4 linked regions of the Lepisosteus oculatus genome follow. Each later gene encodes a partner of the first gene's protein in a complex. Links are inferred from orthologs where the notes say so. Each region holds a gene or a part of one and is shown in the gene's direction. Other genes may lie near its edges.

Region 1 (7,161 bases):
TCCTTAATCTGGAAGTGTGCCTTTTTGTATTTCTGAGGTTTACAGAGCTGGATGCATTAGATGCATAGTATCTAAACCAAACTGCTTTGTTTATTGTTTTGAGGAGGGAAATATGCATAACTTTCAAACGGCAGCTTCCTGAACTTGTCCAACAGGTTGTAACAGGCTGAAATACTGCTTTGCTTGTGAAAGAGGGGCAGGTGCCACACACAGAGGAGATATTATTTCATGGGCTGCTTTTTCTTCTTCCTTCGCTATAGTAGTAGTTGTCTTTGCTCTTTGTCTCACCAAAGGTATTGTCTGTTATAGAGCAGTTTATAGATGCATTTTATTTCAAGCTCAGGCTTATGTGCCAATATGTATAACCATCCATTTCCTAGAATTTGTTAAATAATAAATTCAATGTTTACAGGATCTAATTGAACACAAACACTGGGTATAATTAAACTGTGAAAATGTACTCCTTTTTAAAAATAGTATATTTTTAACTGGAGTATTTACATGTTTAATTTTGAAATGGAATGTTTTTTAATTCCAAATCATGCATTTTTAAACTGCACTTTTATAGTACTACCTCTGTACTGCATTTTGCTGTTTTATCACTAACACCAAGATTTGTATTTGCCATGACTATTACTTTATGATCCCAAATTTCTGGAGGCTTCAGTTTTTATAGAAATGACAATCTTGTATAGCAAGGTTAATGTCATTTAATTTGGGGGAGAGGGGTTGCTACCTGATTACAACACTGTAGAAACGTATTTCAAATTGTTTTTGTTTCCTACAGCTGCTAAAATATGACATCATCAAAACTTTATGCATTAAAACCATTAATATACTGTATATTTAAAGTAATTATAAATGACCTCTGTATAAGATTGTGTTCTGTTTTGACTACATTGAGGCATGGAGGTTTACTCCAGTATTCTTGTTCATATCACATAGCACAGTTTGTTAATTAGATTGTACAAACGGTGTCTTTCAGGTTGTGTTAATAATTATTTTGCCCTGTTTTAGGATTTATAACAAAGTGTCTGATTTTCCTCGTGGGCGAACCTTTGGCATGTGACCTGTCTTACTCATTAACTTTGGAGTGAACAGTTTGTCCATGGTTTTTGCAGAGGGGAAAAAACAGTACTGACGAGTGAAATTCAGATAAGAAGTTGCAAATTTCATGTATTATACATTTTCATCATCTTTACTATATCAAGAGAGCATTAACAGAGTATTAATAAGCTGTTAGGAATTCACCTTTACTGACAAATTGTACATTTATGGACTAAAGTCAGTTTGTTCTCATACAGTATATAAATGGTTAAAGGAAGCTTCAGTAACCTGCGATGGAGTCGTTAACCAGATCCCATCTAGGGTGACCTGGCCTTGCACGTGCTGTTTGCAGTGATAGGCTCTGGCTCACCCCACAACCCTGAATTGGAATAACCAGTTAGAAAATAGATGGATGGATAAATTAACTGGTCAATTATTTGTTTGGTTTAGGAGTTATAAGTGATACTTTCTAAAGGGTCTCACTTAAGTTTAACTCTCTGTACTAAAGGTCTATTAACATGTGTTTAATGATTTTATAAAGAGTTCTTAAATTACACACCTCTAATCCTAGGGGTGTAATCAGAAGTAGTTTTTTTTACAAATGTAATTAATCTAAACTAAAGTTTGGAAATGATCAAAGTTTGCTGACTGTTAATGTTGTTATTATGTTTCAATTATAAAATATTTAGAAATAGAACTCCTAATCTAAAGTGTTACTGAAAAGGGATGCATAATTTACAGAGTATCGAACTTGGCATTAAGATTTATGACTTAGATTAGTCGGACTCTGTGCCAGGCCCGATAGGCCGCGATCCCAGCACGTCTACTGGTTGGCTTAAGAAATCAGCCATTACTAACAGAATAGTGGTGAAATAAACTAGATAGGTACCAGACCTCACTTTTATATGGTGGAAAGTCAAACCCTGGTATACACCACTGCATACCACTTACATGAACTGGCATGAAAATGGAATGTGCCCCACCCTACCCTCATACCTACACACACATGCACACCCTTCTCTGTTTAACTAACAGGCGGTGATGGTGAAGTGTTATGCACAGACACTTTAAAATCAACACCATCACCAAAGCACAGAATAGCTGTACCTCAACAGAAACTATCCGTGTGTACTGTCTTTGCATTAGAGCTAATATGATTCTGTTGTTGGTTTCATCTTTGCATCATAACTGTAAAAGTTAGTTGAATACACTATGTATCACCCAACCTTTTGAAGCAGGAATGTCCTGGCAGGGACAAAATGCAATTTTAAAGATTTTGAAACTGGTTGTTGAGCTTAATTTAAGCTGTTTGCTTTGAAAATTATTTTTACTCACATTATAAATGAAGGATGCTGCAACATCTTTAAGCATCCTTTCTAGAATAGGTGATGAGTCCCTTTCAAGTCTGCAGTATATTAAAAGGTGATTTTAGCTTTCCTAGATCATCATCAAAGAAAACTAAGGTGTTTACTTCAATTTCAATCGTATAATGAACAGAACTACTTTAACTTGCACAATTCACAGATTTATTGTGTGTGTTATTTCACCATACCAAAGCCATTGAAAATGGCACTTGTAGATAAATATTCCCAAATTGTCCCTGGTGTCCCTTAACAACACCATGTCATCATGTTCACTGGTACAGCAGGTATGGAATTGAATTGTGCTCTTCATCCAAACTTGGAGGGAATGGGGAGTAAAAGGGTGGATTGTCTGTCTTGGAGAGGAAATAACTGCAGTAGGCCACATAAGATCCAAGAACTTGAATGTTGAAATTCCCAAATTGGCTTTATTGCTACCCAGTGGCTTTATTTCTGGAGGTTATACCTTTGTAAAATTGTAAAAGTGTGTGGGTGGGCCTTTATACAACAGTTTTTCTGAAGGTGCTGGTTTGTGTAGGGTACAACAAGGTGGGATTTCCACATTTTTCTGGCGGCATAACCGATGAACAAGACGTTTTTCCTGATGAGGTCTCTCAATGTAAAAATCTAATCAAACGGAAGTCTACAAAATCCCTCTACATGACCTTACTCTGGATTTGAAAACATTTATAAGCAGGAGTTCCAGGTTAAGACACATTTAGTCCAGTCTCTTGGTTGGAGAAACCCTGCAACAGAGAAGTCTCTGCTGTTAAGACACGGAATACTGGGAAGGCTTCCTTCTCATTTAATTAGATGAACTGTTATTATTTTATGGAGCCTAGGAGGCGAAAAGCGGGAATATTGTTTTTTTTCTCTGACGCACGACTTCTTAAGTCGTGACTGTGAGATAATAATGTCGTGCGAAGAAGATATACCTCGTGGCCAAACCATTCTCAACGATGTAGATGAAGTAAAAGCACAATCCTGATGGTCGTGCAGTAGAGATTTACGTAATGTCATCCCCACTACTTTTCTTGCTTGCACGATCTGTCCTGCGCACGAGATAAAGATGTTCTTTCCCCATGTCTCTTACGTGAAGGGTTACAGTGAACAAAAACGGACACCCCTTTATTAAGTCAAGACAAATCATTAATTATCATTATTATAATTTGAGGTATCGCAGACACATTTCCTTTGTTTTCGTTTTTTTAAGATACCAGCATATGCAGAGATGACTAATCATTTAGAGATAAGTTGGAACGACTCGCTGTTTGTTGGTGCAAAATGGAAACAAACTATTTTGATATCTCTTTCAATGATTTACAGGGATACAAATCTGAACTGTAAGGGATCGGAGAGTAAATTACCGTTCACATATTTGCAAGGATATTTCCAGAAGTCTCATAAAGTACTTTGAGGTGTCCCCTAAAGTTTAGGTTTCTTAAAATGATATAAAAGACATCCTGAAATATGAATCTCTAATTCATTAACAAGAAATATATCAAAATGATGGGTTTCTTAGATCCGTACTGTTTACATATCGGCCTGTCTTCTTTGTAAAAAGCCAGATGACAGCTCCGGTAAGGAGGGGGGGGTTGTCCAATCTGCTTTCATCTGGTGTCGAGCATCACAGACATGCGTGTCCAATCAGAGCGAACAGCTGCAGCCGCCGCCAAGCTTGTGTGCGGAGTCTGTTCTGACAGGAAGCGGACGACAGTTGCTTTGCAGCTTGTTTCCCTTCTGTTAGTGCAACTCGGGCAAAGACCATTGACGTTCACCCCCACTTTCAAAACTGTGCGGGGGGCAATTTCGCGCAACACCCGCAAGACGCCTAGCGTCAGGATAGCAACCAGCCTGGCGCCCTTCGGTAGTTTCAAGCTGCGGTGTATTTCTTTTAAAAAAGGCTGAGCTGATCGTTACAATAAGCGAACAAAAAACTCCCGAAAGACACAGCCCGCAGGGTAGGATAATACAGCGCATCGATTCACTGGAAATTGCTTGGATGTCGGAAGCTGCAAAAATCAAGTTGTGCTCGAGATTTTTTATTGAAGTCTATTTTCTGCACTTTAGACTTTAGTCTTTCCAAAATTGCAACTTTACAGTCTAGCGACCTACAGTACTGTATATCACTTGATTTGAAAGCGAGTTTATCTCTTCGTAGAATTTAAAGCTCGTATTCTAAGGTCTAAAGCTCGCTTTGAGTGTCGAATCGTAGACATCACTTTGTGCACATTTTTAGCTTATTTAGTTTATAAGAATTTTAGTCGACCGATGAATGCGGTTAAGAAATCGCACATACTGAAAACGAAACTAAAGTTTGCCCTTGACTGTGAATTCTTCTACAAAAAACAAAATGGTAAGTATATTTGACTTATGCTTTTTAAAATCGTTGCCGTCTTTAACTGTTAGTATTTCTTTCTGGATTTGACAAATATCAAATAATGCGACGGTGTAGGGTTTAATATGTTTATACTACAGTAACGCTAAGATGTTTGTAATTAAATTGTCTGATGTGCAAGCTTTCATTGACAAAAATGTACATAATTGGACTGCCGTGTGCAGTATTTATTTTATGTTGCAAATGCTATATTATATTAATATATTACGTCCAACTTGGTACAGTTTTGTGATGCAAACTAATTCGCGAGCAGTAAAGGAAACATCAAATGCCAATTCTGTACAAGACGAATTGGGCTATTTTTGCAAGAGTGAAAATGCAGAAAATGGTTAACATCCTGCTTTGCATGCGCGGTGTACCGGCCCTGTATGATTTCCGAGTAAGTTATTCCAGCCATCGTCTACAAATTCCTCTTTGGGATCAACATCACTCATGCCAGAGAGCCTCCTTTTGAATAGGCGTCCAGTTCCTGGCAGTGTTGTACATCTGCTCACATGCTTCTGACTTAGTGTGTTCTGCTGAATTTGATTTCTCCCTTCATGTTTCAGAACTGCTGTCATTTTTAAACGGACTGATTAGCCGTCCCTTTTTCATCTTCCAATTCCATTAACTCGTGATCTAAAGTGGGCAACCCCAAACTCGTCCAGCCTGATACCTAAAGATTACAAAAAGATTATTCACAAAAGCGTTAAACCCAAATATTCTACCCCGTAATCACAGGTATCTTTTACATTTTCCGCTCTTTATTAAAAACATACACTAAAAAGACGTGAGTACTATGGATGGCAGGGGGCAGCACTGTGATGTCAGTGTCAGTGAATCTTAGGTCTTGGCCCTGGGTTCAGATCTAGCCTGTTGGACCTTCTGTGTGGAGTTTGCATGCTTTCTCTGTGTCCTTTTTTTTCACCAGAACCTCCGGTTTCCTCCCTCAAGCTGTCTAGCTTAGCAGGCGTCTCTAATGGCTTCCCTGTGTGAATGTGTGCACTCTGCGATGAACTGTTGTCCCATCCAGGATGTAGCCCCACCTAAAGCCTTGCTCTGATGGGGTTAGGCTCTGGCTCACCACAACCCTCTAAGGTTGAATCACTTACTGAAAAAGGAATTATTTCTGCCATAGAGATCATCTTCCTTTTTTTTTTTTGTTCTGAATTTTTTACTTCATTTAGAAGACTGCCTCATCCTTTAGAGTTTCTGTAATTTGAATGTATTTAATGAAAGCCTTTTTTAATGTCCACCCTGCAGCTAAGATTGGATCTCTTCCGGTGCTTTCAGGCTGCATTAAACGTCCTAAAAGGAGATACAGTGTAGGAGCTCATGTTGCGTCAGTGTTTTATTATATGGTAGATTGGAGAAGTGGCCTTACGCAGACTTGCTTTCTCACAGAGATGTGCAGGCAGTGAAGTCCCTCAGAGTGAGATAAAGAAGTAACCGCACACATTCAAAATCCTTTCTTAGTTCCCACACTTCATTTAGTACAGCCTTATGAGACCAGAACTTTTTCAGGACAAAGATCCTTGTAAGGTACGGATTGTACTTGTACAGCATATGGCAAACAATGTCATGTCTGGCAGGAAGAAAAGTGTGAATCTAAACCTACATTTGTTGAGGCAGGACTGTTAGAGCTGCTTCGTTGGTGTTTTTGCATAGTACAGAACAACAAGCTGTCATACTTGTGGTGGACATCTGTTGTGCTTGTACAAACGGCTTAAAGTAATAATCTCTTAGTGGCAAGGCTGTGAAAACTGAGACCCTCCTGGGGTGAAGGGGTGGTGTGTGTGACAGGTGTCTTAAGATATTTGCTATCCTGCATTTCAGCAAATAATGGTGGGGTTGGGAATATGAAAGTTCAGCATCAGCTGCTGCAGTCATACACTTCGAACTGTAAAAGACCAGAGTTGTTATCAGAGTGTTGAATTGTTTTCAGAGTGGTTCTCTCCATGTTCTGATTGCCTCTATCACACACGGCACATGCCTCTTAAGTACGAGAGTGGATGACGTAAAGGATCGCCGTTCTGAGGGATCTGTGGTAAAACCTTTGTGCATAGTCTGAGATCCTTACCTGTGGAAAAGCAATTGGACGGCCATTTCAGCATTTCTCTACAGTTCAGTGAGCTAGCTTTGCTCGTTGTGAAAACAGCAGTGATCACACTGGCTGAAATAAAACAATATTTTCCCTGTTTAAGGAGAACTAATTATCTCCGTTTTCCTTTCTATGTATAATTGAGTCAGTGTTTTTAGACTGTCCCTTTTGCTTCAAGCAGTGTGTCACTTCTTGGTAGGTAGCACACTGTGGTACTTCTGATAGTTCACTCTTGGCTGGTGTAGGCCCAAGAACTGGAACCCAGACTCAAGCCC
Region 2 (7,250 bases), on another chromosome or scaffold:
TAAGATGTAAAACCAAGGTCATTTAAAATCCCAGGGTGTTTCTTGAAAAGAGTAGGGGTGTAAACTCCTGTGTCCTGGGCCAGATTTCCCCCCATTATTATGACCTCCTAATAATCCCCATCTTCGAATTGGTTGCTTCACTCTGTTCTACTCCCCTGCTGATAGCTTGTGTGTGGTGAGCGTTCTGGCACACTATGGCTGCTGATGCATCATCCAGGTGGATGCTGCACATTGGTGGTGGTGGTGGAGGGGAGTTCCCATTACCTGTAAAGCGTTGTGTCCAGAAAAGTGCTATATCAGTGTAAGGAATTATACTGATTAGGAATTATTAAATATAATAAAAATAATAATTATTTATTTATTATTATAAATTTGTTTATCTGGGTTTATTAATGTAAGTTAAAATCCGTCCTTGGTCTCTACTCACTACCTTCCGAGTAGGATTCCATTTGTTACAGTTTACTCTGAAAAGGAATTCCATGCCCTCTACTCCAGCAGATAGCAGTGTCCCAAATATACAATGCCAAATGTGCATTTGGGTTACTGCTAGAATACCGATTTATAGCAGATGCCTAATTTTAAACACAAGTAAACAGTATAAAGTTTAACACATATGAGTGTTCTGCTAGTTATTATAAAATGCAAAGGCAGGGATCTTATTGCCAACACAAGCTGTAATGCCATAAAAATAGTATTTTTGCCAGAGTTTTCAGCGAAAATGAAGCATGTGGAAAAGGCATTTGATATTGAACTGTATGTGGTGCAGTAAAGAATGCAATTTAACCCAAACCAGCTCTCAGAGGAAGCATTTGTCATTCTACACAATGAAATATAACTCCTTTTTTATACTTTATGAATTAAACAGTGATATGCAGAATAATTCATCTATAAGCCTATTAATTAAGAACATAAGACAGGTTAGAAATGAGAGGAGGCTGTTTGGCTGTCTAGACCGATTAAGAATAAAACACCTTTCTTTGGGATTTGCTGCTTTCTGAACAGTTACATAACTGTTGCACAGACACACTATCTATTCATTCAATATTCTTGTACATTAATACCTGAACTGTAGGTGACAGGGATTACAAGGACAGTAACTCACTGTTCCCATCTGCTAAAAGAACTTTAGTTTAACACATCTTCACACATTGGCAAAATGTGTTTAAACAACTGACTTTCCATCGGCTTCTGTAGTATTTTAAGTCTCAACCTTTGACCTTTTGTAAAGGCTGGTGTCTGGGCTGAAGGGTGACTATAGTTCATCTGGGATAATCTCGGAAAGATTCTCTGCAACAGTACCATCAGAAAGCTCTAGGACTAATAGTATTGTATTAGAGTCATACTCAGGTTTAATCGGACAATTTATTTCTAAAAAGTCTAAATACAAACACAGGCAAAATAGACAAGATTAAATCAAACCTTTAAACTACCTGAGAACTGGCGAGTTACACATTGAGTCCTTGATGGCTTCTTTCCACTGATTAGCACACCAAATTGCCTTCAAAAATTGATTTTTACGTTGTAGTGGATAGAGGTTTTTACTCTGAGTTCAGGTCAGGTAATCTTTCCTTCATAATACATGGTCATCATGTTTCCATAAATCTGGTAGTATTGAAATTATTTCTTGTCTTTTGTCTATCTTCCTTTTCCTTATGTGACCTTTGTTTTATTTTCATTGTGTTTATGACATTTATTTTTCCATGTATTCTAGTGCAAATTCTTGTGAGACCCTATTTTTATAGTTCAAATTGCTGTAACAGACTCCCAGAGGATGTTATATGTCTAGCTTATAAACCCAATTCACTTCAGAATTTCTGCGCAGGCCATGTCAATTTACCTATGGAGGTTAGTTTTCAGTTTAATAATGAGATACACTAAACACTCCAAATCTTAAATTCTATCATAACATTTTTTAGCTCTGCCAGTCCAGAACTATTCTTTGTATGGTTGTTATTACAATATTCAAGAATTAGTTTGCCATTTTGCTGTATTATGTCTTGAGAATACTGCAAATATGCATCCTCACCAGGTCCGTTGATGTTCCCTGTGGTAATTATTCCGTTCCATTGTAGTTTCCTCTGAAATAATCTGTTTAAGAAGACATCTGGAGACATCATTACTGTCTAAAGGCAACTTGTGGGAGTAAACTTGGTGTTAATAAATTGCACATTGACTAATGGCATGGGAATGATCCTGAAGTTCATTTGTTTTGGATTTGTTTGTTTTTCCTTAATAAACATTGGTACTGGAGAATATCACGCACAGTACAAGTCCTGTCGTGGCTGATTACAGTGACCTCCTTCTACAGAATCTCTGTCAGTTCCAAAGTGCTTTCATACTCATGAGAGTCTTGCCTTGGGTATGGTCCTAATTAGCTGTATTAACAGTGTGGTTAACATTATGGCCTTAAAAAGGCTTTAGGTTGTATACAGTAGATAGCAGCATTACTCATTAACACTACAGACAGTTCTTCTACACCCCAAGGCATGAAATAAAGAACATCTTACAAAAATCGTGCTAAATCCCACAATAAGTTAATAACTTCCTATTTTGCCTGATTTCTTTTATTATTAAATTTTAAATAGGGAATGCCTTGGAAAGAACACACTGTAAAGGGATTGTTAATAAGCTTAAAAATGAGCAAACATATAATAAACCTCAGAGGTAAAAATCTAGCCCTTGTTCTGATGCCATCGCCCCTGTTATCTGTATTACAGAAGGATTTCTCTATTGTATTCTTTCTGTTAGGTAGACAGAAATAGTCTGAGTAACTTTTTCTCACTGGCATTATAAAAGTCTAAACACGAATGTATTTTGACAGTTTTATTTGCTCACTAATCCATTTTAATTGGAGATTCCATGCCCCTTTCTTTTAACAGAGCAGAGATAATTGAAAAAATAGATAGGCAAGACTGTGTTTTAGATTCCTTACATCAAGCACCTGAAGTCAGAGAGCCTTTAAGGGCAAAGGAGAAGCTGATCATCAGCTTGAACTGCTTTGTTCTGGTGTCCATCCCTAACCATGTCATCTACACAGGTTAGTGGAGCCAGCAGAGGTAAGCAAGAGGCTCGAGCTGAAGTTGCCAGAGGAGTGTTGGAAATAATCAAGAACCCACCAACACCAGGCAACAGAAGGACACTGGAGGAAGCCCACTCTCCAGGGGAGGAGCTAATCTCTGAGGGAGGTATTTGATTTGAAAAAAGTGAAGCGTACCAACCAGCATTGTTTTTTATTGCAGCTGTTGCCCCTCTTGCATTTTAGTAATTTAAATCTAATTAAAAATCCTGTATGGTTACTCTGTCATCAAAACTTTTACTCTGTATTTAACATAATCTGAATTTGACTAGTCCAATGATTTATGAGAAGCAAATAATGGCTTTATTAAATGTCTTATAGCACCCTCTTCAGGCCCAGGGATTTAAAAAAACAACTTCTGAAAAGACCAAAATAAATATTTCAAGTACATGTCATATATATAATGAATATGCTATTACAAATGTAAATCATAGGCATTAAACCATTCTTGTGTATATGCATATCTGCCTTGCATATGCCTACTTTTCTGTCTACTGTAAACACTTTGTGATGAGCACAGTATGTAAAATAAACCTTTTCAGGTTTGGAGATATACAAGATATTTTGTCTTTTACACTTGCCTATATTTTTGTGTTTGCTAAAATATCATTCTGATTTGCCGAAACTCCCCTGGTCAGATGAGCTGTTTCCAGTATTTGCTAGCAGAAGAAATAATTGTTATTTTTATTTAGGGAAGAATGTGCTCATATTAGATTTCCTACTATTAATGGAGAAATACCAAAATTAATATATGTCATGAAAAATAACATTCAACAACTTTTATCAACAATAATCATCTTTGAGTTATTAGGTATGAGCAGACACCTAATAACGTTAATATATTTTAGTTTAAAGGCAACATTACAAACTTGTTCTGTCTCAGGGAGGCCTGGTTATGTCACAACCCTAGTCTCTGTTATAAACCAGAAGTTTCACTTCAGGAAATCATCAAGTAGCTAGAGTGCAGATAAGAGTAGTACACAGAACATTCTTCTTCTTCCGTCATAGGTGTGCAATGCTAAGGTTGTACTGTAAAATGTTATACTCTCTAGAATCACGAATTAAAGAACAAGCCAAATGATAAATTCAACTTTAAATTACAAAAATACTCGAATAACAAGCGCACTAAACATCCATCCCGCATTCGAACTGCCCTCTCCGGCAGTCTCTGTCCCACAATGCATTCCGACCGGCAGCCTTTGAAAAAGCGGCGCGGCTCATTCAAGATGGCGGAGCTGGAGCAGCTGCTGGACGAGAGTGAGTAACAACAAAACTGACAAGCGGTTTAAAAACTGATAAAAATGTTCGGAAACAGTATTTCCAAGAGTAATACTGAACGGACACTGCTCAAGTGTTTCTGAAAAACACGCCCGAAATGAATTTGGACTGCTTAACGGAATTGTTTCTGACGCGAATATTTCTTGTTTGTGCCATGATCAGCTGCTTTTAATGAAGTAGCTAATATCAATACAAAAACACAGAGGTGAGCATTGTGCAACCTTTTTGACAGTCATTCTTTAGGTACACACAAAGGAGAATTTGATATATTTGTGTATCATCAACGAAAAGGTATGCAGGTCTTCCCCTTTCTAAATCCACAACAACAATTTAGCTGGAGCCTACGGAGAATAATAAAGCTCTGCGTTTCTTTACACTGACGTGTTCATTTTAACAACTTTTTTATTGAGCGATGCGAAATTCTCTTGTGTAAAAAAGTACCGTGAAATGTCTATCATTTTTTGTACTGTAAACACATTGTTTACCTGTGTGCTCAAACAGCTCATGACAGGAGTGTTAACTGGATAGCAGTGCATATCGAATGCCTGCTGTACAGTGAATTAAATTTAAAAATCTGCAGAAAACGTTATTGGAGCTTGTTCGTATTTTAAATGAGATGGATGGTTTTCCATTGATATTGTTTTGGTAACATTCTCATTGCATTTCATAAACTTAATTGTATCTTAGCTATATGAATACAATTTAGTTGTACTGCAGAACATAGTGTTATTACAATATGGACAAACTATACTCTTCTTGTTGAAAGACAGTTCTGTAAGCAATGGACTGGCAAATTGGAAAACTTAAAGATCTCTATGACTTGTGGGACAATTGGCCCTGGTGTGAATGTGTGTCTCTGTGTCTGTATGTCCTGTGATTGACTGATGTCCCATTCAGAGTGAATCCCACCTTGTGCCTGTTGCTTGCCAAGCTATGCTCCTGCTTCTGTGCAATTGGGTTTATTGGGTAAATTGGTTAGAAAATGGATGAATGGAGATATCTATGAAATTTTCACAATTGGAAATGTGGAATTGAAATTATCATCAAAAGTGTAGATTTAAAAAAAAAAGAAATCTTTTGATATTCATTGATTTCCATGTTTTATTTGTGACAAATATTAAACAAGTGCTCTGGTAATGGACTGACCTTCATGCAAACAATTGCGGAAGAAGGACTTGGATAGATTTAAAGGTTTCCAACATGCATCTGTTAGGCAAGAAACTGTAGCTTTTATACCATAATGAAGAACCTTGGAATGGGTATTTCAGTGGTTCTCAGTCCTGGTTCTGAAATTTGACCTTAATCAGTGATGCATATTGTTGGTAGGCTTACTTTTTTAGGAACCTAGGCCTTGGTTTAAAAAATACCCAAGTACTGTGTAACAGCTTTAGCATACAACACTTTATGTAGTCTCTTCTCAGCTTAAGAATTTCTTTGATTTTCTCATTTCTAAGGTTTCTAAAATCTTGTGTGTCTATTCTAGCATTGCTCATGTATTTAACAGAACATGAATTTAACATTCTAATGATAAAGAAAATTAAAAATGATTTTATTAATTTGAAGAATACTTTATACTGTTATCAAGGAGATCATGTTCCTTCATGTTGCCCTCCTACTATGTTATTTACAGCATCTTCAATGTCCAGTCAAAGAATCTCCCTGAATATGGAGTGGCAAAATGCCACATGTTCTTGTTTTTCTTGGCTGAACTTGCTAATAATTGCACACATTTTGTGTTTTCATCATATGGCCTTTCTTGGAGTGACAGATTATACATAGTTTGACTTCTGGTTTTGAAAGTAAGTGCAGTTAGTTTGTTTTATAGAGCTGATTTTTCAATTACATATGTATCCATTTCTAAAATGTAGGCTAGATCTCCTTAAGTTCTCCTGCTGATACTCACTGTCCTTTATAGATGCTTTTTCAGATGAAAATTAAATTACTTATGATGACAAATTTTCTTATGGTGGATTGTTGAATAATAAGTCAACAGAGTCATTTGGAACAGATAAGACGCGATTGTGGATTCTGGCAGAAGACGTAGTAGTTATTTAGCTATATCTCACAAACGTAGAAAGGGTAAAAATATATATGACCCCACTTTATCAATAATATGACCAAAAATATATTTGGGCTACCTGTGAACACGCATCACTTCTCTGTCACAGGAATCTCCTGAAGTAGAATTTTGAACCACAGTGGCATATTATTGGGTTATTACAGATGATATACTTATTACATAAACTGTAGTAACCAAATTGTTATACTCTTATGTTTCACCTTCCTGACAGCATCTCAAGCTATGCCATCCTTTCTGCTTAGCTGCTCGAATGTGGATTTAGTTCATCTCAGATTGTGATGAATTGGTTTAAGATGGATAATTTTTTTTTTCTACTGCATGCATCATACCCATGTTGTTTTAAGATAAGATCACTTTATTAGCCCTATACAATTTCTTGCATTAGGAATTCATCTTTTCCCATACCCCAGCTTGCTCTCCATGAGACACAGACAGGGAGAGTAGCTTGGGGTCAGAGTGCAGGGTCAGCTATTTATACAGCCCCCCTGGAGCAGCTGGGGCTAAGGGCCTTACTCGGGGGCCCAACAGAGTAGGATTCCTCTGTGGGATTTGAACCGGCAACCTTCCAGCCACAGGCGCAGATCCTTACCCACAGTGCCACCGCACCGGTTTAGACTATTGTAGGTGACTATGAAAGTGTCTCAAAGAATCTATAGACAATGGGTAATGCCTAGATAGTCAACATTTCCAGTTCTTATAGCTTCAAACCAAGGAATATTTACTTAGTTGTGCTGGGAGCGAGAGACACTGAAAAATAGTTTTTTTGATTTTCTGAAGTTCTGGGTAAATGATTAAGAGTATCAAAAGTATAAGATA
Region 3 (7,662 bases), on another chromosome or scaffold:
ACGTCTACTGCATGTGAACGGTAACACTGAAAGACAGAAGTAGGTCAGTCAGAATTTGGGAGGGGAGGGTACTTCTGCTTGTAGTTCTATGCCCCTGCTGCAGATCCAGTCAAGATCCCAGCAGGAGTGGAGAGAGGCCCACAGCTCCTCTGACCTTCGACCCCTGACCTCAGCACTGGCGGCGGGTGGCCGGAGCTGCACGTCAGGAGGTCCTGATGCCACTCAGAGGCAACCTCGCTGGAGCTGTGTGAGCTGGCGGCAGACGTCCATTCGAGTGCTCTGAAAAACAAAGGCCTGACAAAAAGATAATAAGAGTGGAGAAAATAATATTAGTGCCACTAACAGTTCAGAATGAAGCTGCAGGCACTGGCTGACCTGATAAACCACAGAAAGCAGGCAAGGGCGGCTTATCAGGTTCACCAGCGACATGAAATGGGATGACTCTTAAGAGCTTTGCTTAACAGCTTTGCTAAATTTGAATGAAATGTTCAGGGGTTCTTGATTGCTCTAAAAGTCGGGAACATTGCACACACCAGGAGAGCCCCTCGTCAGACCTTTAGGGGAAAATAAGATCTTCAGTCCCACATCAAAGGAACAGGAACCTTTGATGTATGGGTACCTTTTCGGAGGATCATGCATTATTCTTTTTGAAGGAGCACATTGAACAATAACGCCTATGTTTAAAGAGCAATGCGTTAAGCTCAGTTGCTTGAGGAAGAGCAGGTTTGCTTCTTAAAACTCCTTTTGTAGTTTCTCTGAGTTACTTGTGGGTTGTGGGAGTGTGGAACAAGCTGCCGGGCCATGTTGTTCATCCCCTGGCTGCTTTCCAGAAACAGCTGGATGAGATCCTCCAATCAGGACAAGGAGGCATGCCTTTACACAAAGCATGGTAGGGGTCTGGAACAACCCCACCCAGCCGATACCCTGTTTTTTTTCCCAGAAACAGCAGGATGAGGTCCTGGGATCATTTAACTACTAACTACTGTGCAGGCTACATGGGCAGAATGTACTTCTCTCTTTTCTAACCTTCTCTTTTTTAAGTTCTTTTTCTCAGAGAGGCATGCAGAGCAGGTCAGGTTTCCTGTACCCACCCCTCTCAGGCCAGAGCTATTGTATAGTTGCCAGGTGGAGTTTCAGTGCTGGAATAATTTGGCTCGCCGATAGTCCTGTACTTCAAGAAAAAGCAGCATGCAAACACAAAGGAGCAGACAAAAAGTTGAATATTCGATGCAACTGTGAGAGCTAGCAAGTTCTGAGATTTGACATTACTTTTCTGGGGTGTACAAGCAGATTTTTGAGTCTGCCTTATGTCTTTGTGTGTGCTTGTTTCTTGAGGTGTGTTTGACCTGTCAGACAAATTGCATCAAAGTTATTGATTGCAGCATTGATTGATTGACACGCTGATCAAGCAAATCCCTACAACAGTGCAAAAGGTGTAACAGCAAAAATACAAAAAAATTCACTCAAGGCAAACAAACACTTAAAATTGTAGACATTATATAGGGATATGCCCATTACCGTATGTATTGTAAACCAGACTGAATATCCCTTTAAATTAAAATTGCTTATTGTTATTGGAAACAAAAGGTGAAGAAAAAGCCTTTGAATTTCCTCTATTACCTTGAGCAAATAAGCCAATGTAGGTGAAATGTTATCTACAAAGGGCTAAGCCATCAGACAGGGCCCCCTAATCAGAGAAGAGGTGGTAAAAGATAATGATCCAGTTCTGTATTAATTATTCACTTGGCTCTGGCCCTGCATACACTTTTATTCTTCAGGTCTGTGGAACAATCTCCTTATCAGAGTCAGGGGAAAAGCCTGTTTTCCCTGCAGGAACTGGGGCACTCCAAGACATTAACTTATTATGCATAGTGCTGAGCTGCATGTCTCATCAAGCAAGACATATTTTTGTTTATGCTGCAGTCATTAGCTCAATTAAAAATGATAATGTAGGCTTGATCAAAGGAGCTGCCCTGTGTCAATCCACCGTGCAGGTGTGTTACCGACACATCTACAGTGATCTTATCCTGATTGGCCCCCCTCCGCAGTTAAGAAAAAGGGGCAGAGCAGTGGCCCTGCGGCTCAGGATCTGTGCCTGTGGCTGGAAGGTTGCCAGTTCAAATCCTGTGGCCAGCGGAGGAATCCTACTCCGTTGGGCCCCTGAGCAAGGCCCTTAACCCCAACTGCTCCAGGGGTGCTGTAATATGGCTGACCCTGCGCTCTGACCCAAGCTTCTCTCCCCGTCTGTGTGTCTCATGGAGAGCAAACTGGAGTGTGTGAAAAGACAAATTCCTAATGCAAGAAATTGTATGTGGCTAATAAAGTGATCTTATCTCTTATCTTAAAAACCAAGCTGAAGCACAGCCACCTTGCACAGCTTGCTTTTAAAAACAGCCTTCCCATGGCTGTGTGTTGTAGTAGGCTGTTTGATGCAACACTGGTTACCCACATGATGATGACTTTGTACAGTAAATGGAGAACTATGTGTTTCAGTTAGAGCAGCTGTAGCGATTATTTACGAGGCATGAGAACAAACTGGAGTCAAAAATGCAAAAACACAAAACAACACAATACATTCATTTTGAGATAGTGTATTGTAAAATTGGGGGACTGTTTTTAGTTTAGAATGCAATGACAAACGGCAGAAAGGCCCAGAATGGGAAGCAGGGATATTTCTTGCTGTGCAGCAGATAGCGCATCTCTGACTCTTCTCTTGTGACACTGCAGGCAGTGGGAACGTGAGCTGTCCTCTCCAGCCAGCCATCTCTGCCTGTGTTGCTCGGTTGATGTGTCCAGGCTGTGCGAGGCTGTACTCTTTAGCTGTGGTGCCCCTTGATCTCTTGTGTTTGGCCACTCTGAGGCAAGCAATGTGATTGGCTGCTGCCCTCAGTGGGCTGAGGGAGAGGGGTGTGTGTTCTCCATTCAGTCTGAGATGGGCTTCTTTATCTCTTCCCTGGGGGGAAAGGCACAGCAGGGAACAGGAGGGGGAGGGAAAGGGGAGCTGGGATTGTTAACAAGGACGGGATAATCCAGCTCCTTAGCCGTGAGATCCAGGCAGGGCCTTCCTTTCCCTTGGGAAATTGTATTTCCTTTGTTTCTGATGATCATGGAATTGGGAGGATCTGATCAGGTGGTGTTTAGGAATGACTGTAAAACTGTGGAATGTTGACTGAACAGTCAAACTGTCTGTATCACATAATAATACAGCAACTAGTAGCGTTCTGATAACGAATGTATCACGTGACATGGGAGCTGGTTACGTCCTTTACTGCTGCTTGGAGAGTGGGGTGGCAGGGCGGCTGTGTCACCTTCTGCTTTGATAGGTGGGGCTCCGGGTTTCAGGGTATTTTCAAAAGTTGAGGGTTCGGACTCTCCAGATCAGGAAGAGGGTATCGTTCGGCAGGACATGATTTCCTGTCTCCACGCTGCGTGAAATATGTGATTTGAGTCCTGCAATGTGGATAATAAATATATGCATAATGCTGTCACGTGACATATTAGAATAATACTAATGACTTATAAGCTGTTATGTCCTGGCTCTTGCATAACTGAAAATGACTCATAGTGACTCATTACTGGCATGGGGTTGAACACTGTGACTGTAACGGAGTTTGAGAAAACTAATGCATTCTCGTGGTAGTGTGAAATCGAATCTTAACGTATCTTATGGGACACTTCCTTCATCATAAGAATATTTTTATTGTCCCAGATAGGAAATATGCTTTGCAGGCAGGTAAAAGACATAACACAACACACAATACGTTTAGCAGAACATAAACGCATTAGCAAACAAGGGACAAACATGTAGGATGAGAAAGACAAAAAAATAAATGTACGTGCAATGTAAAATATACAATCAATTGTGCAGACTTTTGAAGAGGCCCAGTCTGTACCCGGCCGTGGTTGATACTTCGTGGTGAAATGGTTGCAAAAACAATTGCAGGGGATAATACAGTGCATGTGGTAGCTCAGCCAGCAAGGGCATCTAGCTCCTGACCAGGTCCCGGGTTCCATCCCAGGAAGGGTCAAGAGATGGAGCTTGCTCCAATTCCTTCCAGACAGCTCCCAGGTCCACTCAGCCTGCTTTCCAAGTGAGTACCGGGGGTTAATCCTTCTGGGGGTAACAGGCTGGCTGGAGCGTGATGCTGACCACATCACCTCCACCTCCAGTGTCGGATGGTTGAGAAGAATGGTGACCCTTGCCCCCCCATTCCCCCATGGGCCTTTATCGGCTGAAAAGGGACCTACCTACTATGGTGCATGGACTGTACACATCTCGGTAAACATTAACTCTTTACAAAACGAAAAAGCAGAGTAAATGCGAACAGAGTAAAAGAAAAAATGAAGCTTTATGTAAAAAAAACAACAACCTAAAGCTACCAAAATTCAAACGCACAGGTCTTGATTTCACTAGATTGCTGTATTGCACACAATACAGGAAAATGCTGATGTTCAGTAGTGACATCCTCCAACTCTGAGTATCTAGTTACTACTTCCTGTCCTATTCCAAGGTTTATCAGTAATACACACTGGAAAACGCAATTTTCGACCAGGGTCATGGCCATATAGTCACAACCGAGTAGGAATGGAGCGATAAAAGGCTTTGAACAAGTAATTTGACGACACTCCCTATCGGCCAGTCCCAATCCATTGGCTCAGCGGAGCGAGGTGAACGCAGCTTGCGACCCTGTCAAAGACCGACTTCTGACGGAACAGGAAGTTTGATTTAAAGAGCACAATGCCGGATTTTTGTTGGAAGGCTGCTTTGGAGGTGGGATTTTTTAAATTAATATGATAAAGTATAAATAAGCTCTTTTATTCGCGCTGCGCAGCGGCTCCCAGCTTCAGTAACTGCTGGTGAGCAAATTGTTGCGAGATGTATCAGTCCTGCGTGGGTGTAGGATCACAGGAGTCCCCTTCGCGGCGAGTGACAATGATCAGACATTCACATAGGGAATAAAGTCATGCCTCTCAACACGAAACTGATGGATTTACTGCTTTCTGTAAATGCATTAGGGTTCTTAATGAGAGCGACAGAGACAGCACCGCCGGCCATGTGCTCAGAATTGTATTTAAATATTTGACTGTAGACTTTCCGAAATATGAAATCGATCGTGTTATCGTACTTATTTCGTGGCTATTCTAATTATTGTGGATCGAAATGAACTATGTCCTCGGATTTCTCTCTTTTGTTTTTTAATGTTTAGAAACTGCCCTTTGCAGACGGCCCCTGCCGTTCAAATCGATCCCAGCATGCCCCGCGCCGCTAACGGCTCCATACCATAGACCTCATTGCCGGGTGGCCGCAGGCCGAGAGGGGTTCGGGCAACAGGGAGCCGAGCCGGATCGGATCGGACCGGACATTCCAGAGCGGGACACCGAGCCCAACTCCGGGATCGCGGTGCGACACGGGCGGCGGCGGGGACGGTCCGAGGAGGTGGAGAGCGAATTGCGTGGTGGTTGTGGTGGTGGCTGCGGCGATCGGGCGGCGGGGGGGGGCTGGACCAGAACCGAGCTGAACCCTTCTGGATCTAATCCGAACTGACCCGGGCGCCATGGCCGAGCCAGTACAGCCCCAGACCCCGAGCCGACACGAGAAGAGCCTGGGCTTGCTCACGACCAAGTTCGTTACTTTGTTGCAGGAGGCCAAGGATGGAGTTCTGGATCTGAAAGTTGTAAGTGTGCGCCGCTGCTCGCTCATGAATTACAAACATCTCCGCTTTACCGCCGCTCTTGGGTGCTCTCTGGTCTCGCCGGAGCAACACCTGTGGCATGCCCCGCGTGTACGAGGCCACGCGTGGGCGGGCGAACCAAGCCCCGAGAAAAGGAGGCATTTAAACGGGGGACGTGGAGGGGCTGTCCGTGGGGGACCGGAGGGGAGGTTGTGGCTGATCGCAGTGAAACAGTACTCGGGGTCTGTTTCTGTACGTCCGAATAATTCAGGACCTTAGACGAGCTTTTCTGTCACCGAGAAGCACCGCGGCGACTTTGACAAAGATTCCCTCGTGGTGATGCAGCAAAAACAAACCCAGGATTTTTTTTGGGGGGGTCGGGGTATGTTTCTGTGTTGTGGGAAGACGTGAAGTCGTCCGCCTGATTGATTAGTGATCGTATCATTTGCCCCTTTATAGAAAGAAACACCTCTGAAACCATAATTAGAAATACCCCCTTTTCATTGCAATAGATACATTTTTTTAAAAAAAAAATGGTTGTTGCACCGATAGCCACGCAAGTCTGTGAACTGCGTGGGGATTTCCACAAGATACAGGTTTCGTTTTCAAGGCTGTCCGAGAATGAATACTCTGTTTCAGGTTAGAAAGCGTTTTTATTCCCCCTTCTCTCATTTTGTGGGGTGTTCTTACTGACACCGGGCGCAGAAGATCCCCGAAGTCATGTTTAACCGCGACAGCCTACCGGGAGCTTTCTTATTTGAGTGTGGCCAGCAGAGGGTTATGTAATTATTACAGTTTCACGTTTCAGTGCATCATGATCTGCACGTTTGTGTTTCTTTCTCTATTCCACTGTTCAACGAAGAAATAGCTTAATGTATCCTGCAGTTCCAGAGCTCTTTGAATCGGAAACAAATACTCACTGAAACGGGGCATAGCCGAAAGTCCTCGCTGCATTTTGAAAATTGTGCCGATTTGATGGGCTGATTGATCATTGCTGTCAATATCAGCTTGATCGAATCATTTGCGTTTACTTTAGATTTGCCCCCTTTTTTTTCATTTTGGTCCCTTTCAGGCTCTTTCAGTGAGGAGACACGATGGCACATTTAAAGCAGTGTGCCAGAGAGCTCCTTCTGTTACTCCTCCTGACCTTCTCAGCCATGGGTCTCTTGACTGTTACAGTTGAGTAATGATTAACTATTTGCTCAACTGCGCAGTGGCTGCCCGCTTGTAAGAGATTTCCTTTCTGACAGTGTTGCTGTGCAGTGATGCAGCTGTTTTTTCAGATGTGTGAGCTGTGCAGCAGGATGATAAGGTGCCCTGAAGTCAGTTTTGCACTTGGTTCGATTAAGAATGGTGCTTAAAATGCAAGTGCAAACGAAACCTTTCCTGTCCACTCGCATGCATTGCACCTGGGTTCATATTTATGGGAAGAACTGGTTTGCACGGATGTGCATTCAGTGTCTGATTTTCCTTTCGGCTGCGTTGTGCGTTTCATTCTGCAGTTTGTGCAGCACAGAAGCGACGGAGGGTTTTGTGGCCTCAGTTGTTGTGTGAACTGCCTTTATGTAATTTGTCGTGTGGCTTTGAAAGATCACAACTTTGCACGAAGTCAGGTTGACGTAGGAGGCTTTGTGTCGTCCTGGGAATGAGAATATTAAAACCGGACACATTTTGGAGGCATAAAATGGCATAGTGGTTCGGGTTATGAAGTCAGTCTGAGATAAAAAGGCTATAAGATGCTCTATATGCATTGCAAAGCTCAGTCAGCGTCCAGGTAAAGGAATGATCATGGTTGTATGGTTTGTGTTAAAAGACACTGCATGCCTATTGCAGTGACACTGGAATGCAGTGACCCCCAGCAGTGTGTTTGTCTGTGGAAGTATGCTCCCTGTGTGTGTGAACTCTTGAGCAAGTGGTCATTATTGGAGTTGATGGTGTGTTGTAAACTGCATTACTTGTGGGCCAGGGACTGATTTTATCTGGACTGTTT
Region 4 (8,125 bases), on another chromosome or scaffold:
AGGACCTTAATCCCAGATATTGCTTTTTAACCTCCATTGATCCGAGTTGTTTGTACTGGATATCCCGCAGAGCTTCGAGATCAAATGCGCAGTTACTCGGTGTTTGCTTTTATTCATTTGCCGTCGTTTCGTCGTCAACACCCCCTTTGTTCCTGTCCTTTCTCCTCGAGAGCCCTGGTTTCTGACTTTTGCACCAAGACAGCACCCTGCTCCGCCTGCCGGAGAGAGATCCCGTTTGGTATCACAAGTTGCCTTCGGTTTCGTGGGATCCCGGTGTCAGCCGACGCTTTCTGCTCGTGTGTTATGACACTCGGGCTCCGTTTCGTACTCTCGTGAACGACTTAACGGCTCCGGTGTTTGCTTTTATTCATTTGCCGTCGTTTCGTCGTTAACACCCCCTGTTTTCCTGTCCCGGGAGCTTCTGGACACAGAGGAGCAGGGAGATGTTTGTTTTGTTTGTTGTTTTTTTTTTTCACGGCGAGGCCGGAGCGCACCTGTGTAACTCATCTTGGGGCTTGTAACTCGCTCGCAGGTGCGGACTGGCGCCGGGCAGTCTGCCTCAGATCGCTCCCGCCTTGCAGTTAAAAAAAAACCCAGAAACAAAAAAAAAATCTATTTTTTGGTCCCAGTGCTGTACGCACACTAACCTCTTTTCCCCACTGGTGAGCTAAAGACCCACGTGCATCGTTTCTGCCCTACATTAGAGGTCACAAGCGTCCTGGAAAGACAGGAGTGATGGCTCCTGCTATAAACCCCCGTTTATGTCCTTTGAACTCCGTCGCTTCAATTTCAGATTAAGATTACACGAGTAGTTTTAACTTGTTACTTTGATCGTACGGGTAGGCCTTTAGTGACATCACTGTCTTCTCTAATCCTCTTGAGTTTTTAAGTGCTCATTACAAATAATAATAATGTATTCATTTCTTTGATCGCGGCGATCCACTCTCAGTAATTCTCGAAACGAAACGCCTAATAGCTTGGTTAAATGATGTTTGATTGATCTAAATTTGCTAGTTCGTGTATTGTAAATACCCTCATACTGTCGAAGTACAGTGCGTTTTGTATTTTTTTTCCACGGGCCTAAGCGCCACCCAGTGAAAGAGACCCTGTGTCCTGTTATTAATCCCAATGCCCAGTCAGCCAGACTTCCTCATTGTGACAAGTTTTACTCTTCTTATTCTATACAAGTCTCCTTTGTAGTTTTGATTCATGTCTACTGTTGTTACCTTCAGCTTCGGTGGTCGTACTAAGTTGGGGTGTTTATATCTGAATCAATGTAAATATAACTCCTGCCAGGACGGTGGATTTGTCTTGCATGACTGGAGCGCCACCTAGCGGCCCAGGGCGGTAGCACAGATCGAATCTTGTGTCCCAGTTGTCCTGTAGGTGTAGCCTACGATAGGTATTGCATCTTTTTTATATATATTTTTACGGAGGTCATACACATATGAGTTAACTGATTGACATCTTCAGGGAGATGTTTAATTAACGGCACTATTTATGAAGGTCAGAAGACAAGTTTCTAAAGGTGTCCTCCTAATGGAGGAGAATTATACTGTATATGATCAAGTACAGGAGAGTCCGCAGCATGGTGCAGTGGTTGCTGCCTTTTAGTGCTGGGGCCCTGGGTTCGATTCCTGGGGTGCGATCTGCATAGGGTATGTATTTTCATCCTGTGTTTGCGTGGGATTCCACAGGGTGCTCCAGTTCCTTCCCAGAGAGCTAAATCATACTGGTACTGTAGATTAATTGGCCTTAGCGAAAATTGGCCCTGGTGTGAGTGTGTGTGTATCTGACCTGTGATGGACTGGTGTGTCCAGGGTTTCTCCTGCACCCATTGCTTGCTGGGATAGGCTCCGGCTCCCCCACCACCCTGTATTACATTAATCAGTTTGAAAATTGAAAGACAACCATTCTGAAGCTCAGCAGGTGTGAGCCTGCTCGGTACCTGGATGGGAGACCTTCTGGGAAAAGCTAAGGTTGCTGCTGGAAGATGTGTTAGTGGGACCAGCAGGGGGCGCTCCCCCTGCAGTCTGTGTGGGTCTTCATGCCCCAGTATAGTGACGGGGACACTATACTGTTAAAACCGAGGTCCCGACTCTCTGTGGTCACTAAAAATCCCAGAGCGATTCTCGAAAAGAGTAGATGTGTAACCCCGGCATCCTGGCCAAAGTTCCCATTGACCTTTACCAATCATGGCCTCCTAATAATTCACATCTATGAACTGGCTTCATCACTCTGTTCTCCTCCCCACTGAGAGCTGGTGTGTGGTGAGTGTACTGGTGCACTTTGGCTGCCGTCATATCATCCAGATTGGGCTGCACATGGTTGGTGGTGGAGGGGAGTCCTCATTACCTGTAAAGCGCTTTGAGTGGAGTGTCCAGAAAAGCGCTGTATAAGTGTAAGCAATTATTCTGTATTCATATATAGTACATGTATTAATGTATTCATTATAAGATCCACTCACACCACTCCACATCACTCCCCTGTGGAGGCAGCATCACTTTCTGCTTGACCGAGCAAGTTAGGAGCTTCCACTCAGAAACCCTGTCGCTGTGGTCTCCCCACTGATGTGCAGTTGTCTGGCCCCAAGCGTCTTCCAGGTACGCACAGTTTAGATGTGTGCATTTATATGTCGGAAAGAGCATAACTGACAGGAGGCCATATGACACACCATATTCACATTCATTCATTTCTGTTCAATTCGTCTCCATACTAACATGGAGAAAACCCCCCTCCATGAAGGAAATTGCCTTTAACCCTCCAAAAAAAAGGGACGATTTAGAGTGGCCAGCCATGCCTAAGACGTGAAAGAGTGACCAGAGAAACCCCACATGAACATGGGGATGAACTTGCAAAGTTAGCAAGTTCCAAGGCTGGAATCGAACCCAAGAGCCCAGGTCTGTGAGGCACAAAATCACAACATGGCCATGCACTGGGAGTGGGGATGGGGTCGTTTTCTGGGCCTTCCCTTTTGCTGTTACTACTGCACGAGGGACAAACACAGACCTGCTATAAGCACTTGAAGACTTCAGGCTGGAATTTGTTTAGTGCTTATTGTGTACAGAAGATGCCAGAGAGCAATGGGAGTAAAGAAGATCACCAAGGATCTGGGGACCCACATCGAAGTTAAGAAGGTGTGCTCATATGACCCATAGGAGAGTGAGAAGCTTTTCTTTACACAAAGAGTGGCTGGGGTCTGAAATAAGCAGCACCTCCATGCTATATAGCCCTATTATATTATATAGCCTCTTGGAGATCCTCTAAGAACTGACCAGAAACAATTCTCAGATCCAAGTTAACTGTCACAAAAAGAGCTGGATCTCTTTTATGTTTTTAATCCATTTGGTGAGTAAGTTGAGAGCTCCAGTCCTGCATGATTCTCGCGCAGCTTGGTACAGTCTGAAAGATGAAAAGATAAAGGCCAATAGGAAAGTCCTGTTTCAGGTAAGTATAAAGCATTAGATCTATATTATTTACTCAATGGGCTCCCTAACACTCTTCTCAGTGAGTTGCAATATGTTCAAAACTCTAGACAGCTAGACTACTAACTCACACCAGATGCTAGCATCTTATTACTCCTCCACAAGTCTCTACACTGGTTGCCTATAGAATCATGTATTCAAGATAAGATCTTATTACTGTTCAAGGCTCCAACATACTTCTCTGAGCTCCTGCATGTCTACACTCCCTCCTCTAGCCCCATTCAGCTGAGACTGGTCCTCCGCTCACAGTACCCAGGACTAGATCTCGGACTCTCGGGGACTGTGCTTTTTCTATCACTGCCATTATGTTTTGGAGAGCCCTTCCTCAAGACTCTCTTCAAATCCAAAATCAAAACTAACTTTTTTCACCACAGCCTTTATTTGATTGACCTTTATTAATTGCTTACACTTACACTTATATAGCACTTTTCTGGACACTCCACTCAAAGCACTTTACAGGTAATGGGGACTCCCCTCCACCACCACCAATGTGCAGCATCCACCATATTCTATCTATATGATACCATGTGTTCTTATTTTTTTAAAGTTTTTATTGTACTTTTTGGGTCTTTTTCTGTGTACGAACAACTTTGAAAGGTATTATTTATAAAATGCCTTCTAATGACGCTGTTCATCATTAATAAGAAGACGAAAAAGTACAATACAAAGTAAATCAAGAATAAAAATAATAATACAGGTGTTTACAAATGTAGGCAAGCAGACGCAGATCTTGGTAAAAAGGTCAGTTTTAAGTTGAGATTTGAAGAGAGTTAAAGAAGTTGTCTCATAGAGTCTGAGGAAGGTCATCCCACAACGCTGGAGTAGCGACAGAACCAACAGTCGCCAAAAGTCCGTGATTTAGTGGGCACAGTGAGGAGAGGACATTATTATTAATACTAATATTATTATTAAGACTTAAACGTTCAGTTGCTGCAAAATGTATACTCTACACACAGCAATATATAAGTAAATATATAAATAAATACGTGTACATCATGTATATAAAGAGCTGGTCACACTCAGTTGCTTGGCTAAGCGTTCAGAAAGCCAGGTAGCAGAAAAGGTTGGGGCGCAGGACAAGCGAGCTCAGCCTGAAATTCACTTTAAAGAAAAACAAATCCGAAGCGTTCAGTTTTTCGTGTCAACCCCCGGATGTACGATTCCCCTGAGGCTTGAAGAATATTTACATTACAGTCCTCCTGGTGGTATTCAGGCTGAACTACGTTGGTAAATAATCGGATTTTTTTTTTTATGGGAGGCAGCTCCCACAAGCTGCTTCTTAACAAAGTTCTACTGAATACGATGCAATCCTGCGCATTTCTTCAGGTCCCCAAATGTCTGATTCGAGTTGCTGCCTGTAAGCAATTTAAATGCAGCAGGTAAATAAAGAGTTCAAGCTTAGTCCAGAATATCGGCCTCTGTCTCTTTAAAGACAGGGACCCTCCCCTCGCGCTCCAACAGTTCTATGCAAATAACCAACAAACGGGCAGCATTGTGACCAATCAGAGCCGAGCTCCAGCCGCGGGAGATCCAAATTTCGCGGGACGCACTTTGGCGCTAAAACTGCAGGTCTGATCAGCTGGGGAGTTGAAGCTGTTGTAACTTTGAAATAGCAGGAATTCAGCAGGACTGTTCATGCACTCCGATGAAAATCCGAAGCATCCTGTACAAAATACACTTGTATTAGGGATTCTGATCCAGGATTGTGAATCTGCAGACTTTGCTGAATCTGGATATGCCTATATTGGAAGGGATAGGCGGTATTTTTTGGATTTTTGACACTATTAGAGTTGGAAGTCCACTTTCATTCTCTTGCTTTTCGATGCAGTAACCAGATCTAGGTCTACGAAGCAATTTTGTTTTAGATTAGTTTAAAAATACTGAAATCTTAAAAGAGGTGGCGTTTACTACAGATAGATTATTTAAGACTTTATTACTTGTGTGTATTCTGCGTATTTTTAGCATTTTAACCTATTGTTTATCGACAATCGGCAAGAGCAGCAGTCAGCTGCATTGTTTTTAATATTTAATCGTTTTTATGAATGCACATTTCTGCTAAAGCTTCTGGAAGCCGGTCGTTCACACAAAAAGGATATACCGCATTATTATTTTTTTCCCCCGATTGAGTGGCAGACTTGAGTGGGGAATTTTTAGCAGAGCAGAATAAAAGATGATGCGGTTACCCAGAGGGGTCTCTCCGGCTTCCGGTAAGGGAGCAGTTGGCTTTTCGGGGTCGACGAGGAAGGTGTTAGCCGGGGCAAGAACCGAATTATTCGGTACTGAACTGTCGAGTCCTCCGATCAACTCTTTATCGTCCGGCTACCTCAGCCAGATCTGCAACACCGCTTCTGGGGATCAGAGGGCGAGCTGTCTGTACTCGACCCCCCACGGGCCTGAAGCGAAGCCCATCAGAGCTACCTCCGGGAGGCTACCGGTAAGTCCGCAATGATTTAATGCGCTCCATCTTAACCTTTTATTTTGAATAAAGTGCCCTTTCTTACACCTTGCGGTCTAGGATGGTACCCCCGTAGCTGTAAGGCGTGTCGTTTTGTATGCAACTTTAATGTTGCGTCTCAATCGAAACGTCGAGTCAATATGAGAATTTCAGATTGACTTTACTGATCGCTTTAACTGGGCTGGATGCGTAAATTTTGCGAGCACAAGTTTAGAGCTCAATCCGTGTCGCGTTATTAAATGTGAGTGTATGTGCGGGGGGTGGGGGGGAGCGATGGTTTAATTTTTCGGCCCAAAAAATTGCGAGATTTGTTTAATTGTGCAGTGCTCGAGTCTGCGGCGCCCAGAAGTCGTTCAAGTGGCGAAGGGCTCTAAACGGTGACTCGCTTTGGAAGCGAACGCAAAGTCAGTGGGGCCGCCTTCTGAAGCGGCAGTAAAAAGATGGAAGAGGAGGTCTGGGCTTTTCCCGCGGGCGGCGTGGAAGGAGGCTGCGGCTCCCCTTTGATAGAGGCCGTGGTCTCGCATCCCAGCTGTTACAGCCTGAGAGAGGGGGTCAGTGGAGGACCAGAGACACGCCTGAAGAGGGGGGGGGGTACCATAAGAATAGCCCGAGACAGAGGCACAAGACCGGGAGATGTGCGTCATTAAAACGGAAATGAAACCTCTCCAATGGTTCCCAAATAATACAGCAGAGCGTGATGAAATATGAATAAAACGAGACAGTTGAATCGTGTGCGCTATCCGCTAATTTTGACCAACTTGCTCCATTCATTCTGCACAGCTGTTGGTGTCCTTTTCCGGTGGTTTGCCACTCTGTGTGACACCTGCTGTACTCCTAGTGCGTTCACATCCACACAACCTGCCGCTGTCACTTCAGGGTGGAGAGTGCAGAGGTCAGGGGTCAAGCCCTGTTTGCGGCTGCAGTGGGCAGGAGGGCTTCGGGGGTAGGTCTGCGCAGGTGTAGTTCGGATGAATTCAGCTGTTCGCAAGGAAAAGCCAGTTTAAGGCGGAGTTCGTGCGAAGGTGTTTCTACTCCAAACAAAAAAAAAAAACCAACAGTTTAAAAGCCTCTGGGGTAACTGGATCGAAGTGTGATGAGCAGTTTTTTTTGCTTCTCCTTTATGAATGAATTGCTTGAGTAGAAGTGCTGAGACTGTATATAGCCTCAGATGGACGTAGATGATGTTTAGAAAAAGCAATTGGAACTTGCGCAGTTCAGGGTGCCTCCCTGCCCCTTCACTTCAAATTTTCAAGAACTACAAAAATATGGTCTTCAGCTTTTTGTGGTGCACATCAGATTTCCTGGGTGCACCACGTCAGTTGAAGTGATGTTTGCAGCGTAACCTGGTGGTGCCACATTATGAAAATAGCACTTGATTTGACTTTCTTGGGTGCTCATGTCTGCCCTATCAACTAACAGTTGATTTGCATGAGAGAATGTAGGAGTGTGTCACTCAAACCTGCTCTGTATTTTTTCTGGTATAGGGTAAGCCTGAAGGGGAGAGGGCAATTATTTTTAACCTTTGATTGGATTGAAGCACAGGGAAGTAATTGCATCTGTCCCAGCCGGATTTACATTGAACTACACAGGTGTGCAGTATTCTGGTCCTCAATTGCTCAAACTCACAGCAATATGTGATGCTTTGTTCCTATTACAGGTCGTCTTTTTAAGTTGTTGTGTTGAGAGGAAAGCACTGCATCTTGACCTCTTCACAGACTATTCTGAAATTTCTGTGTTTTTTGTCAGCTGTGAGATGGTGCATTTGTTAGTACAGCTACTGCCAAAATTAGTAGTTTGCAGGAACATGGATTATTACTATTCTCAAACAGGAAAGTCACTGAAAAATAAAGGTCTGCGTTGTGCTACTAGAAAAATCGTGATGTAAAGGTATAAAAGTGTAAGTGCTTTGATTAGGATCTCAATACAGTGAACAACACAACTGCATAGTAATTAAGTTTCTTTAAGGGGCAGCAGTGGGCAGGGGTCTGGGCCAGTAACTGGAGGATTGGGAGTTCAGATCCCAGGTTTGTATGCAGAGTGGGGAACACTCCCTTATTATTCTGGGGCAGTGCAGAGTGGTGGCTAAAGCACTGTACTCCTAAAAGCTATTGATGTTTGGAGGTGGGCTACCCCGATTTGTGCAGCTCTCTGGGCTGTACATGTGGTATTGCTGCTGTTTGGGGTT

What was found.
Region 2: tfdp2 (region 1) and lin9 share a complex: the UniProt entries of both Homo sapiens proteins name them as parts of the DREAM complex. The link is inferred for Lepisosteus oculatus from reciprocal best matches to the Homo sapiens genes TFDP2 and LIN9.
Region 3: tfdp2 (region 1) and e2f4 share a complex: the UniProt entries of both Homo sapiens proteins name them as parts of the DRTF1/E2F transcription factor complex. The link is inferred for Lepisosteus oculatus from reciprocal best matches to the Homo sapiens genes TFDP2 and E2F4.
Region 4: tfdp2 (region 1) and e2f2 share a complex: the UniProt entries of both Homo sapiens proteins name them as parts of the DRTF1/E2F transcription factor complex. The link is inferred for Lepisosteus oculatus from reciprocal best matches to the Homo sapiens genes TFDP2 and E2F2.

What each region holds. Positions count from the first base shown.
Region 1 is NC_090708.1:15,800,950-15,808,110, forward strand, and holds the start of tfdp2 (transcription factor Dp-2), read left to right. Parts: upstream 1-4,100; 5' UTR 4,101-4,764; intron 4,765-7,161. UniProt on the Homo sapiens protein: Can stimulate E2F-dependent transcription.
Region 2 is NC_090697.1:55,789,222-55,796,471, reverse strand, and holds the start of lin9 (protein lin-9 homolog), read left to right. Parts: upstream 1-4,166; 5' UTR 4,167-4,254; coding exon 4,255-4,333; intron 4,334-7,250. UniProt on the Homo sapiens protein: Acts as a tumor suppressor. Inhibits DNA synthesis. Its ability to inhibit oncogenic transformation is mediated through its association with RB1. Plays a role in the expression of genes required for the G1/S transition.
Region 3 is NC_090715.1:4,496,115-4,503,776, forward strand, and holds the start of e2f4 (transcription factor E2F4), read left to right. Parts: upstream 1-4,648; 5' UTR 4,649-4,771; intron 4,772-5,207; 5' UTR 5,208-5,555; coding exon 5,556-5,675; intron 5,676-7,662. UniProt on the Homo sapiens protein: Transcription activator that binds DNA cooperatively with DP proteins through the E2 recognition site, 5'-TTTC[CG]CGC-3' found in the promoter region of a number of genes whose products are involved in cell cycle regulation or in DNA replication.
Region 4 is NC_090706.1:10,810,900-10,819,024, forward strand, and holds the start of e2f2 (transcription factor E2F2), read left to right. Parts: upstream 1-5,071; 5' UTR 5,072-5,655; coding exon 5,656-5,919; intron 5,920-8,125. UniProt on the Homo sapiens protein: Transcription activator that binds DNA cooperatively with DP proteins through the E2 recognition site, 5'-TTTC[CG]CGC-3' found in the promoter region of a number of genes whose products are involved in cell cycle regulation or in DNA replication.